Linked DNA regions of Zea mays. Each later gene encodes a partner of the first gene's protein in a complex. Links are inferred from orthologs where the notes say so. Each region holds a gene or a part of one and is shown on either strand. Other genes may lie near its edges.

Evidence for each region. Proteins that work in one complex are often made in the same cells at the same time.
Region 2: 50S ribosomal protein L5 (region 1) and 50S ribosomal protein L31-like share a complex: the UniProt entries of both Arabidopsis thaliana proteins name them as parts of the 50S ribosomal subunit. The link is inferred for Zea mays from reciprocal best matches to the Arabidopsis thaliana genes AT4G01310 and emb2184.
Region 3: 50S ribosomal protein L5 (region 1) and 50S ribosomal protein L27, chloroplastic share a complex: the UniProt entries of both Arabidopsis thaliana proteins name them as parts of the 50S ribosomal subunit. The link is inferred for Zea mays from reciprocal best matches to the Arabidopsis thaliana genes AT4G01310 and RPL27.
Region 4: 50S ribosomal protein L5 (region 1) and 50S ribosomal protein L13, chloroplastic-like share a complex: the UniProt entries of both Arabidopsis thaliana proteins name them as parts of the 50S ribosomal subunit. The link is inferred for Zea mays from reciprocal best matches to the Arabidopsis thaliana genes AT4G01310 and emb1473.
Region 5: 50S ribosomal protein L5 (region 1) and 50S ribosomal protein L9 share a complex: the UniProt entries of both Arabidopsis thaliana proteins name them as parts of the 50S ribosomal subunit. The link is inferred for Zea mays from reciprocal best matches to the Arabidopsis thaliana genes AT4G01310 and RPL9.

Annotation. Positions count from the first base shown.
Region 1 is NC_050096.1:5,387,174-5,390,385, forward strand, and holds 50S ribosomal protein L5, read right to left. Parts: upstream 2,028-3,212; 5' UTR 1,925-2,027; coding exon 1,619-1,924; intron 1,489-1,618; coding exon 1,288-1,488; intron 1,132-1,287; coding exon 787-1,131; 3' UTR 501-786; downstream 1-500. Other genes in the region: glycoside hydrolase, family 28 precursor, read left to right, coding at 1-429. UniProt on the Arabidopsis thaliana protein: Binds 5S rRNA, forms part of the central protuberance of the 50S subunit.
Region 2 is NC_050098.1:221,940,151-221,942,782, reverse strand, and holds 50S ribosomal protein L31-like, read right to left. Parts: upstream 1,351-2,632; 5' UTR 1,293-1,350; coding exon 1,203-1,292; intron 1,097-1,202; coding exon 794-1,096; 3' UTR 501-793; downstream 1-500. UniProt on the Arabidopsis thaliana protein: Binds the 23S rRNA.
Region 3 is NC_050103.1:167,360,501-167,363,912, reverse strand, and holds 50S ribosomal protein L27, chloroplastic, read left to right. Parts: upstream 1-1,199; 5' UTR 1,200-1,261; coding exon 1,262-1,555; intron 1,556-2,396; coding exon 2,397-2,498; intron 2,499-2,607; coding exon 2,608-2,784; 3' UTR 2,785-2,912; downstream 2,913-3,412.
Region 4 is NC_050098.1:202,897,642-202,901,728, reverse strand, and holds the start of 50S ribosomal protein L13, chloroplastic-like, read right to left. Parts: upstream 2,801-4,087; 5' UTR 2,695-2,800; coding exon 2,470-2,694; intron 1,987-2,469; coding exon 1,801-1,986; intron 1,235-1,800; coding exon 1,064-1,234; intron 281-1,063; coding exon 164-280; 3' UTR 1-163. Other genes in the region: uncharacterized protein LOC100285659, read right to left, coding at 3,500-3,756, 3,863-4,087.
Region 5 is NC_050100.1:222,785,531-222,789,673, forward strand, and holds 50S ribosomal protein L9, read right to left. Parts: upstream 2,801-4,143; 5' UTR 2,729-2,800; coding exon 2,585-2,728; intron 2,059-2,584; coding exon 1,931-2,058; intron 1,618-1,930; coding exon 1,572-1,617; intron 1,326-1,571; coding exon 1,228-1,325; intron 1,048-1,227; coding exon 1,000-1,047; intron 907-999; coding exon 786-906; 3' UTR 729-785; intron 643-728; 3' UTR 418-642; downstream 1-417. Other genes in the region: methyltransferase WBSCR22, read left to right, coding at 1-26; Chaperone protein dnaJ A7A, chloroplastic, read right to left, coding at 3,451-3,496. UniProt on the Arabidopsis thaliana protein: Binds to the 23S rRNA.

The sequences.
Region 1 (3,212 bases):
TCCGGCGCCGGGAGGGGCGGCTTCGTCAGGGACATCTTCGTGCGCGGCCTCAGCCTCCACACCATGAAGTGGGTGTTCTGGATGACCGGCAACTACGGGCAGCACCCCGACAACACGTCCGACCCCAACGCCATGCCCGAGGTCACCGGCATCAACTACAGCGACGTGTTCGCCGAGAACGTGACCATGGCCGGCAGGATGGAGGGCATCCCTAAGGACCCCTACACCGGGATCTGCATATCCAACGTGACCGCCCGCCTCGCGCCGGACGCCAAGGAGCTGCAGTGGAACTGCACCAACGTCAAGGGGGTCACCTCCCACGTCTCGCCCAAGCCGTGCCCGGAGCTCGCCGCGGAGGGCAAGCCGTGCGCCTTCCCGGAGGAAGAGCTCGTCATCGGCCCACCCGAGCTGCCGAAGTGTAGCTATTGAGGCCGATTGCCAAAAGAGATCATTGATCATATAGGCTCTTCGGTGATAGTCTAGACAAGCAGTATGAGAAATGCAGCTGAAATACGTTTGCATTACAGTGTCCGTCTCACATTACTGCTTCCTCCGATTACAATGTCTGGCAGTGGTATAACTTGTGACTACAAATTATGCATCAAGAAGAAATCAGCAAAACGGACATGATCATTGCAAACCTTTTTCATAGGTGCACAAGTTACATAATTGACAGACAACAACAGCATCGAATTTGTAAGCCAAATTCTGCAAAAAGATCGGAATTAAAACAAGCTGAACAGAGCGTGTGCAACCATGGGCTGGCTGGCTGGCTGGTTCCTCTCCTCACCGTCGTCCTCCCTTCCCCTTGCCCTTGCTCAGGAAGTGGTGGCGCTTCAACCTCTTCTTCCGGATCACCACGTCGGTCTTGATGTTCTCCGAGAATGGCATGCCGAGGAGGACCAGCAGCCTGAACGCCTCGTTGTCCGTCTTGGCGCTGGTGACGATGGACACGTCCATGCCGTTCTTCTTCCCGCCCACCTCGTACGGGATCTCCGGGAACACGCCCTGGTCACGGAGGCCAAGGCTGTAGTTGCCGTGCCCGTCGAAGCTGTTGGGGTTGACACCCAGGAAGTCCATGGTCCTAGGGAGCCCAAGGTTGATGAGCCTATCCAGGAAGTTGTACATTATCTACAGCCAAGGACAAAAAAAAGAAAAAGAAATGAGCCCTGTACCAGTGAAACGAGCTCACAATTTCCACTTGTATTGCAGATTATACTAAGCTGCCATATTCCAAACTGCCACGAAATACACTCCGAGGCCAAATGAGCAATGGATGAGGCTCACCCTGCCGCGGAGGGTGACTGCGATACCGATGGTGTTTCCCTCACGGATCTTGAAGCTGGCCACGGACTTCCTGGCCTTGGTCTTGACGGGCCACTGCCCGGTGATCATGGCCAGGTCCTTCATGGCGGCATCCAGCCCCTTCGAGTTCCCTGCCTCCGCGCCCAGACCGCAGTTCACCACAATCTTCTCGAGCTTGGGAACCTAGCCGTTCGAACCAACCGCACGACTCATCAAAAGTCAAAATCCTACCACGCCAGCAAATTAGCCTAGCTACAAGGAGGAACGGCGGGCCTTTCCGCGGCGAGGAGGAGCAGGGTCGACGGTCGAGCACCTGGTGGACATTGGTGTAGCCGAACTCCTCGGTGATGAGCGGGACGACCTTCTGGTCGTAGACGGCCTTGAGCCGGTGCACCTTCTGGGCTTCGGATGGGTCGACGAGCACGATGCCGGAGGGCGATGTCGGCGGCTGCGTGGGCTTGGGCGGCGCCTCGGTAGCGGCGGAGGCCACGACGCGGAGAGCTCGGCGGGGAGCCGCGGAGGGCAGGAGCAGGCAGCGGCGGGCGGATGAGGAAGAGGCGGTTGTGGCGACGGCGAAGGGCGTGCCCGAGGAGGGCAGGGTCACAGCCGCGGCTGCCATCGGAGCGGGGCGTGCGGAGGCGGGCGCGGCTTATGCCATGGATGAGGAAGACGGTTGCTGGATAAGGCGTCGGCTGTGCCGCTGGCAGTGGCCAATCCAGTGGTTCTGGGCTAGGCCTTCGTGTGCTCTGGACTTGGACCCATTGAGGATACAGAGATGGCTAAAGCCCATCAAGCCCAAGCCAAGATTGTTTAGTGGATCAATAAGATTAACATCATAATACAGCCTTGTTTTGCTAACAACGAACCTAATATCGTGAATACGTGATTAACAACAGTCATTGAGCTGGTCATGCGTGTAAAAAACAACTTAAAAAACAAGTGTGATCAGTTTAATATTTGATATGTGGGACATGTGCCCATGATGACGTTACATATATATTTTTTAGTGAGAGGTAACCATATATTAAACTGATTACACATGTTCAAGCTAAAGTGCATGACAAAAATAGTTCAATTAGAATCCATAATGGTAGCTTGCTATCAAGATTGTCATGCACTATTGCTTGGTCATGACACACCACATATAAATCAAATAAAATATTGAAAGATTGATATACAAATCAAAATAAAATGTTGAAAACTGAATATTCAAGCTTGAATATAGTAGATTTGTCGTATGTGGTTCGTCGTCTACGTCTCGCTTGGTTGGGCTAGGTCGCTTGACGCTTGGGCCTCGTTGGGCCGCAGGGCAGCTGTGCAGCTCGTTTGGCTCGTTAAGAACCAAACTAAAATGTTGGCTGAGCTCGTGACTCATTTCAAACGAGCCAAGATGTATCAAGCCACTAATGAGAGCGAGTTATGGATCCACAAGTTTCTCGTCCAGACCTAGTGGCAAAGTCTGTGCAATATGATTAGTAGGGTGTAGAGTGGTTTCTAGACTTGCGGGTATCGTACTTTAGACTTTAATAGGACCTCACTCGTGAAGTAGACTAGTTTGTGTACTTTGTATACATGGCCTTACTCTTCTCTTTCAACCATGATTGATGTCTTTAGTGTGTTGGTTGTGTTGGCCCAAAAATGAGATGCAATATTCCAAACTATCGTGACAGGGGTTGTGGACACCCTATGCTCCATGTGACAACACAATTGGATGCCATGGAGCCTAAGGCTGTTGTGTGGGGGATAGATATCCCCCGGGTCCACTAAAGGAGTAAAAGACCTCACGAAAGGCCCAAGGGCCCAATAAATCGTAAGGTCATTCTTTTGTGGGCCTGGGGAGAAACAACCAACAAAGCAGAGCGACGTGATACCGGATTGGTGCAAACCCGAATGGCCCACAACGTCGA
Region 2 (2,632 bases), on another chromosome or scaffold:
CTCGAACATTATCCAAAACGACAAATAATATAACACCGGAGGGAGTATCTATTTGCTTGTCGCTATCTATTCTTATTTCCGCCACATTTTCTATCAACGTAGGAAATAGAGTGAATCAGAGCTAGTGTATGATATTATCTTCAACGGTTTATTAATAACAAAATAAAATTACTTACTTTTCTTTTGTCTAGATTAAGCCAATAATATTATAGTCATTTTGTTTTATTTTATAGAAATTAGCTTGAATTATATGTTGGTGCTAATTGTTTGTAATGGCATGAGATTTTACAAATATTCTATTCCACCCATATGGCCGTATGTCACGACATGTTTTATATATCATGCAACACATGGACACTCAATTAGTTCAGTCGCATGGAAAAATTGGTTGTATAAAACTATGACTCGGAAATTGGATCACCTAGCAACAGGAGGCTAGTTTGATCAAACAGTATGCGGTATCAGGTTATCAGCAGACGACTCAAGCTGTAGTCAAGCATCAGCGTATACTCCTAGTGAGAAATATCCATTTCCTCGAACCAGGATCATTTGCTTGTTTGATCAATACCATCCTACCCTAGAGTGCATTGCAGAAAGCACATTGTATTTGGGGGCCCATGATCAACAAGACCCTATCTCGTGAAGTAGTAGTAATTGTACATTTTCCATTCCGAACATTAACCGAACACCTGGAGAGCAATGCGAACAGACAGAGTCTCGATTCCATTCAAGAGGGCAAATGTAAACTGGACCGGTGACCACGCACCGGGTGAGGAAGACGGGGAGCCATCAATCAGTTGTCCCCCTCGGGCTCGAACTCCGGGTCGCCGTCTGGGTGCATCTCCCTCCACTGGTCCTCGGGCCAGTACTCCTTGATGTGGCCCCACTTCTTGCGGAACTTCTCGATCTGGCTGTCCATGACCACGAGCGCCGAGGTGTCGCCGACATAGTAGGGGTGGTTTCCGGACCACACGTCCACCGTGTACTCCGGCTTGGTGCCCCCCGTCACCAGCACCAGCTCGCCGTTGCAGTACACCTTCGCGTCCTCGTAGATCTCCGGGTGCAACCCCTTCTTGCGCATCGAGCAGCGCATCCCCTGCACCGCGCCGTCCAGGTTCCGGACTCAGGAATTAGCGGCGGCGACGACGAAGATCCGTGCAGGAATGGCGAGAGGGAGGGCCGGTGTGTACGAACGTGCGTACCTGGGAGGGGACGACGGAGCGTAGGGTGCGGGCGGTGGTCCTCGCGGCGGCGGGGATGGGGAGGAAAGAGGTGGAGAGGGAGAGCGTCATGGCGGACGATGGCCTTGCCTCGCGACAGTCGCTTCGGCTGCCTATGTTCTTTCCTTCCTCTTATCTATCGCCTTGCTAATGTTATCCTCTGGCGCTCGTCGATTCTCTCTTTAGGTAGCGTTGTCTAGGCTTGTTTGGGCTCTATATGTTCATTAAAGTCTGTCTGTGGTTTGTTTTGGGCTACGTGGAAATGCGACGGCCCACGAAAAATCCAGTGCCCAATTTCTCCTTCAGTTATTTCCAGTTGGCGGCCAGCTATACTAAAGAGGTATAGCTATGCGGTTTTTTATTTATCGAAACATTTCGGATCAAAATTCTCTTTCATAGATGTAACGTCGAAGAAAGTACACCACCAGAAATGAAAGTGTTGGTAGATGGTTGGTTGAATTAGTGGGCCAAAAGAAGAGAAAGTTGCATGCCGTGTAGAGTCTGACTTAAATATAATTAAGGAATGATATGCAAACTACAATTACAGTTGTTACGGTTTTCTTAAGAGTATAAAATTAAATAATTTAGAGCAACTCTATTAGAGCAACTCTAGTAGTTCTCCAAAAGATTCCTTAAATCAATAAATAATTTAGGTAGCTAAACTAAAAACTCATCTCCAACAACTCTCTTAAATGAATTTTCTAAATTTAGCTACTTCTCATCTAATCTCAATTTCTCCCTACATTTAGCAACCATTTATCAACTTCCTAAACAAAAAACTGACGATAACTTTTGTATTTTGGTGTTTTTTCACTTTGTAGTAGAGATATATTAACAGAGCACATTCGTCGGACGCCGACGATGTAAAATTGTGGCAGGTAGTCAACTAGAGATTAACCAATTGCCAATGCAATAGCCGCACGTGCACATGTTAGAAATAAACGAATAAACAATTGTGATAGTAAATAAAAAAGCCAACATAACTCACCAATTAAATGTGTCATCACTAATGGTCCTACTCAAACTAGCGTCATGTTAATTAAAATTTAACATATTTAGAAAGTAATAGATAGAGAAATGTTGGATGAGATGATTTTTTCCCCTATATTATATGAGAACTTGCTATATCTAGGATTTAGGTATTATTATTATACATAACTATTGTAGTTGCTCTTACTAAATACTATACTCTTCTATCACCTTTTGGTATATCATTATTCGTACGTCATGCTGCCCTAAGTATTCATATATTTTAACTTTGGTTTGTTTGGCTATCTCTATTCATTATGCCTTGTTGATAATAGATCTAGCTAAGTATTCATATATTTTAACTTTGATAGGTGCAATTTTATATTTGTTATTTATCGATTAACTACATCTACAAAGATTTATTCCATGTTGTATGAGTATAA
Region 3 (3,412 bases), on another chromosome or scaffold:
GTCCTTTTCAGTTCCAAACTATTCACCGTGCAGTGGCAAAGATCGATATGGACTAACATTTTACAACCGCAAGCACGCTATAATTTGTCACAAATAAACAAGAGTGGGAAAAAGATAGAGGAAATGCGTTGTGTCGGTCGGGTCCGGCCGGGGTGGGGTGCGGGTGTGGGTGTCGCCGGCGAATCGTCAGACGAGGCAATGATCGCCGGCGGTCAATGTCATCTCTCCGTCCCCCTGCTGACGGTGCGTGCGGTGCGGTGACTGCTGCTAGTACAAGTAGTAGCAGCAGCCTGTGAGCGCCGTGCGCTGCTGCCTCTTTGAAATTTCTGGCATCCCTAGTGCCGCCGGAAATCTAACGCACACGGAGACGGAGGAGTAAACAGTGCAAACTGCAGCGAGTGAGCGGATGGAGCGTCTGGACTCTGGAGAACACGAGATTATTAGTGGGTGGTGGTGGTGGTGGTAGGGCCCTGTTTGCTTGTGTGGTCTGGTCTGGGCCATGATTAACTTGGACCCCCAAACGCTCTGCATCTCCCGCGCTTTCGTCAAGGATCCTAATCATGCCATGTGTCGGTCGTCTCCTCTTCTTCCGGCTCCAGCTTTGCCGTTGCCGCCGGTCAAGCCCATCATCATGCCTACTGCTTCTCTTGCTCTTGCTCTTGCTCCACAACAAGCCTGCCTGTCACTCTAGCTAGCTTCCCCGGCTATCTCCCCACGTGCCGACGCTAGCTAGCTGTGGCCATTCAGCGTCTCTCTGTGCAGCTCCGGAGGGAGGAACAAGATGATGCCCTTTTGGTTCACATATCATGTTTGTTTAACTCTAACTGAGCCTATTCAGACTTATTATCGTTGGTACTTGAATGTGAATCATTATCGTTACCACTTACGTTACATATCATGAACCAAACACCACCACACTGATCATTTTGTTTTCCCCCTGAATGATTCCTTCGTGAATCCTGTGTTGCCTTGCCTAAAACTACAAGGACCAAAACCGGCCAGGAGCATAACACCATTTCCCTCCCTTCCAATTCGGCCAGACACTCTGCAAGCACCACGAGGCCCATCTGCAAGTAAGGCCCAAAAACTCCAGGACCCAAAACACTGGGCCAACCACGAACGAGCCCACGTCTCCCGACTGCATCCCTTCTCCACTCCGTTATCACCAGCGCCCACACCTCTGTACCTCACCGCCTCATCTGCTCTCTTCCCCCGTCTTCTTCCCAAGCTGCCACGTTGCCTCCCTCCGCTCCAGCGGCCCATGGCCTCCATGGCGTTCGCCCTGGCGGGGGCCTTCAAGGGCCTCTCCCTGGCGCCCACCACCACCACCTCCTCCTTCCCGCGCTGCGACCGCGCCTCGCTCTCCGTCGGCGGCGCAGCGGGCGTGCCGGTGCCGGTGCCGGCGCGGCGGCTCACCATCCAGATGGCGCACAAGAAGGGGGCCGGGAGCACCAAGAACGGCCGCGACTCCAAGGGCCAGCGCCTCGGGGTCAAGATATACGGCGACCAGCTCGCCAAGCCCGGGGCCATCATCATCCGCCAGCGCGGCACCAGGGTCCTGCCCCCCTCTTGCTCCCTTCGCTTCCCTTACCTGTTACTGGTTTGCTTTGGGTTAGTAAGACAGCCTAGGCTCTTGCTTGCGTGGATTATGGTACCTCGTTGACTGGCTCTGCTGGGCGACATAGCTCTCTCTGCCTAGCGTTTGCTTGCTGCTCACCTGCTGCTGCTGCTGCTGATGCAGGTTAAGCATATTAACCACCGACCAGTACCTTCATACGGATTACGGACTGCGAATGCTAGAATCTTACGATGTACCTAGAATGCTTGCCATTGCACATGTTACGTTGGAATGTATGCTGCCATTGTGCATATCTGCATTTTCCATAGTTTACCACTCTGCAAAAGCAGGAAAGAAAAGATTGCAGTTTCTTGCATACATCAGATAACGGGAGGGGAAAGTGCACACACAAACCTCGCTGGGGAATGTAACGTACTAACCTCAATGCCCTATGGAGCCAACTGGTGGTGACTTAGGGGGGTGTTTGTTTGGGATTATAATCTGCCCAGGTTATATAATCCAACAAATTTTGAACTAAACACCCACCTTACTCTGCACACATGGTCAGACATAGCTGTTCAATATTAGGCATACTGTAAGATGGTCGGTCAATCCTTGTAAAAGATATTTCATGAACTTACATGTCTTACGATTTGGTTGGTCCGTCCTACTTACCAGCGCGCTTCAAATATTTAAGATGTTTATATATTATGGATACTACATGGTTTATACCATCGTGTCCCTTGTATAGAGTTCGTTTTGGTCCCCGTTTTGTGGTCTGTCTGTTCCTTGCCGTTTTTAAGTTTTTTCTTAAAATAAAATCTTTTGGACATTTCAGGTCTATCCTGGAAATAACGTTGGAATGGGCAAGGATCACACACTCTTTTCTTTGATAGATGGACTCGTCAAGTTTGAGAAGTATGGGCCGGACAAGAAAAAGGTTAGCTGTATCTTAGTTACTACATACTGAAATCTGCTTTTACTTGCATCTGACTGAGATCTGGTTGCACACCAGATATATGCTCATCTCACTACCTCTCCTTTCATAGGTTAGTGTTTACCCATATGAGAAGGAGCCTGAAAACCCAAACAGTTACAGAGCAAGGAAGAGAGAGTACTTCCGCATGCGGCGTGAACGGAAGAAGGCGAGAGCGGAGGGCGCCGCTGAGCCTCAGTTGGTACTAGCTGCTGTTGATGAAAACTCTGAGGTCAGCGCGGACTGCTGATAAGTTTCCTGTGTGGTGTTTCTCTTTTTCACAGCCCTTGTTACACTTTTTCTTCCTTAATTGTAAGACCACATGATCTATAAAGGTCATATTTACATGTGTTGTTTAGATAAATGGATATGTTCTACTTGTACTTTTTGTGGGGTAGTTGTGCTTTAGAGTCACAGTGGGGGTCTATTCCAACTTCCTAGACCACTCCACGTAGGGCGTGTTTGGTTCGGCTTTTTTCTGAATAGCTTTTCTGAAAAGCTGGTGGTTAGAATTTAGGTGTTTGGTTCGCCAGCTGTGCGGAAAAGCTGTTCGTTAGAATCTAGGTGTTTGGATACACAGATTCTCAGATTGCAGATTCTGTTTGAAGAAACTATACACATTAACACCGAACCAACAAAAGGTCATTACATATAATTAGTGGAGTTCATTACAACATAACTACTGTTACATTTACATATTTAACTACGGCACTAATGCATTAGCAATTGCATCTCGAAATGCACTCATGTCTAACTCATCAGATGTGATACTACTACTCTCACCTACAGATACATCATGACCAAGGCTATTAGGTCCTAGTTCATCAAAGTCTCTATCGTGTAGAGCACTGTCTCTAATGAAGTTATGCAATGTCATA
Region 4 (4,087 bases), on another chromosome or scaffold:
TGAATTTCATGCATTGGTAAACATCAAAATTACAAAGAGGATTTATACTCCCCCCCCCCCCCTCCCCGATCAGAGGCATGGTTATGAGGATAGCATTCCAAACAAAGGGCAAAACCTTCTGGGGAGGAATTCGCCACTGCATCCTTTTCAGTCGATGAATTCTCTATCCAGTTTTTTGTATTCTTTTATCCCTGATCGGGAGTGGGACAGGTTTTTGAGCCTCGTGCGGATGTTCTGTCCCTTTGTATACCTTGAGGTGGGTAAATAATCTTCTTCCCAGCTGCAAATTGGCAAAAAAGGTGAGCATATAAATGTAAATATAACAAGTATATAGCACATAACAAAACTAAGTTAAATCAAATTTGCCATCAACAAGAAAAATGGAATGGTTAGGGGGGATGCTTCAGATAACAAGATATTTGCCTGCCATAATGTGAGTTTCAGTAAACGCATCCATACTACCAAACAATTGAACTAAGAAGCAATTTGCAAGAAAAAGGTTAATAGGCAATTTTTATGGAGTTCATGCAACACACCTTTGCGAACTTAGAAAAAAAAAGATCGGCAAGATAATTAACTAATTCAATCTGGACTTGTTAATTTTGTTCAATAACAACATTCCCTTGAATTTAGTACTGTGATTTATTCTGAATGTCACGCTTTCACTGGGAGGTACATGCTGATGCATGAGCAATGTTCTGACTGCAATACACTTCAGGGCTTGTTCGTTTCGCCGTTAATCCATGTGGATTGAGTGGTATTGAGTCGGTTTAAATCCATAGCAAGTCAAAATCCATCCCAATCCATCCCAACACACCAATCCACATGGAATTGAAATAACCGAACAAGGCCTCACCATTAACTATAGTAGTTCTCAATCTCAAAAGAAAAAATTCACATCTGCTAACTAATACCAAATTGTAATTTTTGGGACCTTAAAATAAAGGTCACCAGGAAATTTGGTTGTCATTTTCATATTTGGCATACATTATAACATGCGCACTAAAACGAGAAAGAGAACATGTAGACCTGAGGCAATCAGCTAGTAGATGTTTTTTCTTACCCTTCCCTTGGGGAGCATGCCACGAACCGCATGTTCAATGATTCTCTCTGGAATTCTTTTCTGAAGTTGGTCAAAAGTTTCTTCTTTCATCCCTCCAGGCCTTCCGGAGTGCCTCCTATAAAGCTTTTGTGACCGCTTTTTACCAGAAACAGCAACCTTATCTGCATTGACCTATGTGAATAGAAAAGGTTGTTAATGACTCTCAGCATTGTAGTGTAACACAATAATGCATATCATCTACTCCATCTGTTCCAAATTATAAGATGTTTTGGTAATTCTAGATACATAGTTGTTACTAAATATCTGGACATGAATTATGTCTAAGTGCGTAGCAAAAGTAATGGATCCAAAAAAAATCCAAAAAGTCTTATAACTTGGAACTGAGGGAATACGTGGTAATGAGCCTTTAGAGATGCACCAGTCACAAAAGGACTATGCTAACATAAACATTAAACACAACTACAGTTGAAGATTATTTGAGGAAGGTTACTCACCTCAGTACCAAATAATCTGAGGGAAGTAAAGCATGTATACTAAGGCCCTGTTTGGAACCTCTACAGCTAATAGTTAGCTGCTAAAATTAGCTATACAGGTTCCAAACACCCACAACTAATTGTTAGCTAACTCACAGTTAACAATTAGTTCATTAGCTGGCTCAACCCAGCTAACAATTTGTTAGCTGGCTACCTGTTAACTGTAGGGATTCCAAACACTATAGGTATTGAGAGAACGCTTACCACAATAACAAAAGCTCCCATGTCTACACTAGGAGTGTAAGTGGGTTCATTCTTTCCCCTGATATGTACTGCAATGGTGGATGCTAGCCTGCCTAGGATCTTGTCTGTTGCATCAACAACATACCATGTCTTCTCGGTAGTTACATGATCTGCAGCCTTAGGATACCAGGTTGTATTCCATATGTCCTGCAAATTAAATCACTGAATCAGATTTCAGTAGACACAATTACTTGTGGAGTAATTCATTAGAAGAAAGAACAAGGCATAGTACAAACAAACCATTCACTTTGTACCCATAGTATTAGTAACTGATCCTAAACAAGTCACAATTATGAACAGGCTGGTTGGCAACCATCAGTTCACTTTGACTTGCATGTCCAATTAAGCTCATTTTTAATGAATTCTCTCTCACCACAAACAGCCCATGGGTAATTTTGGATATGATGGCACATGGCAGATAACATATATAATGTACGCAGTTCTATTGTAACTTGATTGCCCTTCATCATGCACATAAAAGGATAGTCGAAGCCTCTGAGGTGGATTAAGATGGCCACGGTGAAACATGAACAAAATAGGATGGACACTGTCAGTCCAGGGTTACAATCCTGCAAAACGAGCTGTGAAAATGTGCACATTGTTTCAAGAGAGGAAGAGAGAGCGTCGTACGGGGCCGCAGAGCTCGTCTCCCTCGAACATGAAGCGCTGCTCGCGGGGCACGAGCGCGGCGAGCGGCTGCCTCTTCTGCTTGTCGCTCTTCTCGCACCGCACGGCCAGTCCCACCGGGGCGGCCCGGCGCGGCCCCACGGACGCGGTCCGGGTCAGGCGGCGGTGGTAGTGGCGCGGGGCGAAGGCGGAGGAGAGCAACGTATGGGAGGCGACGGCCGTAGCCATTGCGGCACGGCGAGCGAGCGGCAACAGGAGGAGGATGTGCAGACGGTTGGTTCAGTGGGACGCGGCCATTTTTAGGCGCAGTGGGGAGCGTCAAGCGGATAAGGGGATAGGAGACAAAGAACAGGGAAAGGTTAACAAGAACATATGGGCTTCATGGGCTCAGAACGAAATGCAGATTTGGCCCATTACGACACCTTATCAGCTCATCTGAGATTTAAACGCTTCCTTTGAAACTCTTCCCAAACTCAGAATAATGGCGGTTCCATAATTCCATCTAAAAAAAAGAAATTCAATGTATTACTATTGGGCAAAGGGAGCTGCATTAACAAAATATAGCTTCAGACAGGACCATATTTTTTTCAAACGATTCCGCTGTTCAAGTACCAATTAGAAACATCGGTAATCAGAGAAATTCTCGAGTCCAAATAAAATGACGGGAACAGAACTTCCATTGCTGCTAGTTTCCGCGACAACCATCAGCAGCAGAAGCCGAATTAATTGATAACGGACACCATTTTCACATGTTCCATCAGGAAACGGAAAGGAGGCAGAAAAGTGTTCATTCTCTTCTAACCAAAGAAAGCATATCTTTTACATATATAGTGGCAACATCGTGTGATTGCGTTGCAGTGAAGCAACAGCTTAACGTGTTTCTGGTTCAGATCCAGGATTCCCTCGCAGGAAGAACGCAAAGATGATAATATACAACAACAAAATTGTGAACCAGAGATGTCGAGTATCGACGATTAGAACCATATGTAAATCAATGGTTAGTTGGCTACCAGCAAATGAACTGGGAGGAAGGTTACGAAGTAGTAGAAGACCCTGAATTTGTCTGTGTAAGAGGTTTTACTTTCCTTGTGTGACCCAAACTATTCACAAGATCCCTGCGAGTGCATACAGGAAACATGCTCAATCCATGCATGTTTAGCCGCCACAAAACGTATGGAAAACTGAGCTGATCACGAGATGTGAAGCGAACCACTTCATTAAACCAAGCACACATGAAATGGTTCGTTGCAGGGGTGAGTTCCCTCACAATAACAGAGGCTTCGGCTAGAGCTGAAAAATCAAACGGGTAAATTCATTATAACAGTTCGGAAAACATATACAGAGATATTCCACAGGAGCAAAAGAACAATTGTTTGAGAAAGATTAACAGACTGACCTTTCAGTCCGTGCAATCTTTTTGTGTCCGGCATTCCATCTTGACGATACCGAGTCAATTGTACCTCTACCTCTTCAGGGGTAGCCTTGTGCTTTTGAACAATAGCTTTCCCCTCATCATATATGTTACTCCGTGCTCCATGTTCAGAGATAGCAAATGTAGAGTTTGTCCTCCAAAGAAGAGCTTCAAGCATTCCTATAGGATCTCTTCGTAATTGGTATTTAG
Region 5 (4,143 bases), on another chromosome or scaffold:
GGCGTAAGCGGAAAGGCTATTTCTAGCTCTGTGCAATGCCCCCTTGCCTGCAATGCTGGCTGTTCAGTTATGATGCTAGTTCATTTAGCAGAAGCAGAAGGATTTTTGTAAAGGGTGAAGCGAGGAGTTGTACTGGTATTCGGGAGTCATTGCATTTTTAGACAACGATGTGAAACTGTCATTTTTGTAGAACGTGGATGTTGAGATGAATACAGTTGGTTTGCGTGAATCTGTATCAGATCGCTGGTGACGCCCAGACTTTGGCTAAAAGAAACGCAGTTCATGTGTCAAGTACGTTGGTGTTCCAATCTGAATAACGCTCTATGGAGCCCCATACTTAGCAAATTTCTTGCCTTTTTTTTGTAGTGGATGCAGACGTAGAGGTGGGGAAGGTTAGAGGACAAGAAAGAAGGGTCGTTTTTGGCGAAGTAGTGCTCTACAGTTCAAACAAATTGTTCTTTACAACAATTTATATTTTCCGCCTCAAAATCAACAGATATAATTGTTGAAAACTTGACTTCACACGGTAGGGAATAGGATGCGCAGTGAGCCAGTGAATTGTGTATCAAAACCAGGCAAGTCACGGCCAGACCAGGCCTCATGTCTACCGCAGCACCTGGCACTTGCAGCAAAATCTCTGCACTAAACAAAAGCAACTGTGTAAGAGCAAGACCAGCGGAATTCTAAGAGCCAAATCTCAAGGAAAGAACAACGGCAAATGAGCTCGCCTGGCAAACATCAGGCTTCTCCAAAGTCCATTACTCGAGGTTCTGTAACTGCTGAGCTCATTTCGCATAGACATTCAGCCTTACTCGCGCTGTCACGTCTGGGTGAAGCTTGATCTCTGCAACATACTCTCCGATTTCACGGATTTCTGGAACCGTCACCAGCTTCTTGTCGACATCCCTACAAGACACAGCGTGCCAGCAGTAAGAGAAGCAATATAATGATGAGAAACGCTATTAAGATTGCCTAGGAGTTAGGAGCATATGCACTTGCCTATTAAGTTGTGACTTTATTATGTCAACAACATCCTGTGCCGTGACACTGTACAATAAAAGATATCGTCAGAAAAGTGAAAGTAAGACTATACCCAGCAGATAGTGACACTATAGATTGCAGTGTGTACAAAGTAGAGTTTGAAATGAGAGATGGAGATGGGTAAGCTGTAAGAGATAGCCTGAGACAAGAGAGAATAAATAATGGATTGTCCAACTTAGAACTTGCCTCCCAAAGATCTGTTTTCCTTTTCCACCTTTGCGAGGGAGTTTGAAAGCGCCAATGGTTTCAAAAACTCGAGCAAGTTGTTGCGCGTCTTCTTTTACCTATGTAAATAGAGGACTTCTTAAGGCCATAATTATAAACAAAAACTGATAAAAATGCATTGATAGAATTTCATGAACATATCATGCTTAGGACTTAAATTACGGAGGACATAAAGGCACTATATTTTCTTTTCATAAGGAAAGTAAGGATAAACTGCAATTGAAGTTTACTCTCCAGACAAAGAAAAAGGTCGCTGAGGTTAAATTGCAACTACATTTATTACTGAGTAAAATATTTTTTCCTACCCGCTTCTTCTCAGCTTCTATTCTCTCCTGCTCCAGCTGCATTTCCCTGCGAAGAGAAGTAGAGGCAATAAATTCATTCGCAATCTTACTTACCCATCGAATCAAACAGTATGTGTGTCGACCATTGCAATTCTATTAGAAAGGTGCATGGATTGGATTCATATCTCAATCTAGTTTTGCTAGGTGCCTAGGTCCCAAACCTCAGAGTCAAACTAAGCATACCACAGAGAAGGTCATACGGTTGCCAGCAGCCACTGAATCATTTGACAGAGTGTGGACTTTGCAATTACTTGAGGATTAAATGACATAACTAACAAAGCAAAGCAAGTGAGGGATAACCGAGAGCTGGTAGCAATTACTTGAGGACTTCTGGGGTCAGAAGTGTAGCCTTGCCCTTGGGAAGGAGGAAGTTGCGGTAGAATCCAGCTCGCACCTTCAGTGTATCCCCTTTCTTCCCCACCTCTTCTATGTCGTCTGTCAATATGACCTATGGGAAAGAATTGTTTTTTTTATGGAGAAAGGTAAAATCACATGTAATGCTAAGGGTGGCGGTAATAGCTACACAAGATAAGCACCACATTGTCAATTTAACTGGATGCACCGTTGTTGCATTCTTGTACAATCAGGCAAACACAGCAAAAGGAACGACTTATGAACTGAACTCCAACTAGTGAGGCAAGGCTCCCATCAAAGGTATTTCATCCCTAGTATCTAAATCCCCTGCCTAAAAGCCTGGTTAGTAGTAGTAGTAGTACAACTCTTGGAGCATCTAAATTGTGCGAGCCACTATATCTTACCTGTTGCCAGTGAGACAGCTAAGCTAGCTAACTTCATTTGTATCTATTGATCACAATATACAAACGTACCGACGGCGGTGCATCAATTTTTTTAGAGAAGAAAACTAAAACGCGGCAGGTTATGATGCCCTCAGCAACCCGCGTGCATTAACTGATTGCTAAGATGAAATCAGCACAGAACTCGAACATAAGAACACGCGGAAAGCCCGGGCCGACCTGGCGGTACTTCTTGACCTTCCCCTGGGCGACGATGACCAGCGACGGAGCCCGGCGAGAGGCCGTGAGGCAGCGCCCCGCCGAGGGCCGCGGGTAGGAGGCGGGGGTCCAGGGCAGCGTGGAGGCGCACGACAGCGACGCCATTGCTCTCGCGCTTCGCTACTCAAGCAAGTGGCGCTTCGGTCGCCTCCTCCGCTCGCACCGCTTTCCTTTCTTATCCATCCACTGACTTCGCGAGAGGCCTAAATAATGGTTTGGGCCCGGAAATGAGAAAGCGGCGGCGGCGGCCCAATCGATCTGGAATGGATAATGTCACGGCTCCGTAGAGCCCGTTTCACAGCTTCTCTCGCCTGTCGCGCTGCGTCCATGGCGGGAGCCTGCGCGGTCGCCGTGCCCGGATCCAGCCGCGTGAACTGCCGGCGTGATAGCCCTTTCTCGAAACTGAGAATTCGATATCACCGAAACGTATTTCTAATAAATAGTTCCATCGCATCTTGTAAGTTGGATAAGTTTGCAATTCGATATCGGTGAATTTGATTAATCCAAAACCTCAAGTACAGTGTTTGTCTAGTCCCGGGGTTTGGGATCAGCATCCCACAGCTTCAGACTTCTACGCCGCTTGCCAGACTGAAAAGGACTCCAACTACATAAAAATAATTGCTTGGCAAGAATGACAAGGGACCAACGCCGCGACGATATTAGTTGACAACTTTCACTCCCTCGGTTGCCACTCAGCCTGAAAATCTTGCAGCTCTCCAATAAAACGAATATACGAGCTCGTGGGGACCCCCAATGAATCTAAGAACTTTGATTGGACTACAGCACCATGTAAGACAATCTTCTATCCTGCAGTAAATATTTACAGCCTACAGGTTGTCGTTCAGCCACTTCGCAGCGCCATTAACAATGGACCTGAAAGAATTCAACATCTAGGTCAGAATACAAGAGATAACCCAATCACAAAAATGTCTGATGAACTAAATCAATCAACATTTTTTCCTCTCGAACTCAGCCAACCTTTTATTTTTCTCGAACACAACTAACACAGTTAGGATGGCTCAAATTTCAACAGAGGTTATGCATCTGCATTCAAATCTCCCATTACTACAGTGTAATTTCCCCTTTTAAAGAATACTCGGAAATGTAATGCAGTGACCAAAAATATAGTTCATTACTACAAGATTAAGTTGGGTTGGTTCAGATTTCAATAAAAGAGGCATCTGCATTCAACTTCCCATTACTATTTACTACACTAGACCGGACGGGGCGCTCCGCTGCGCCAGTTTCGAAGTGCGTGAAAGAACAGGTAAAGTGATAAGTCGTTCAACAGCGATCGGTGAACAGTAATATTCAGAGATACATCAGCCAACACGCGTGAAGCCACGGCCGCAGGCTGGATAATTTAAAATGCAGGCGTGAAGAGAAAGGCGTTCAGATTTTAAGAAACTTAATTTGTAATTTTCCCTTTTAATAAAGGAGTACGTGAAAATGTAACGGCTGCCATAAACAACTAGGTAGTTTATACTTTATACCACCAGAAGTCCAGAACAGGGAAGTAT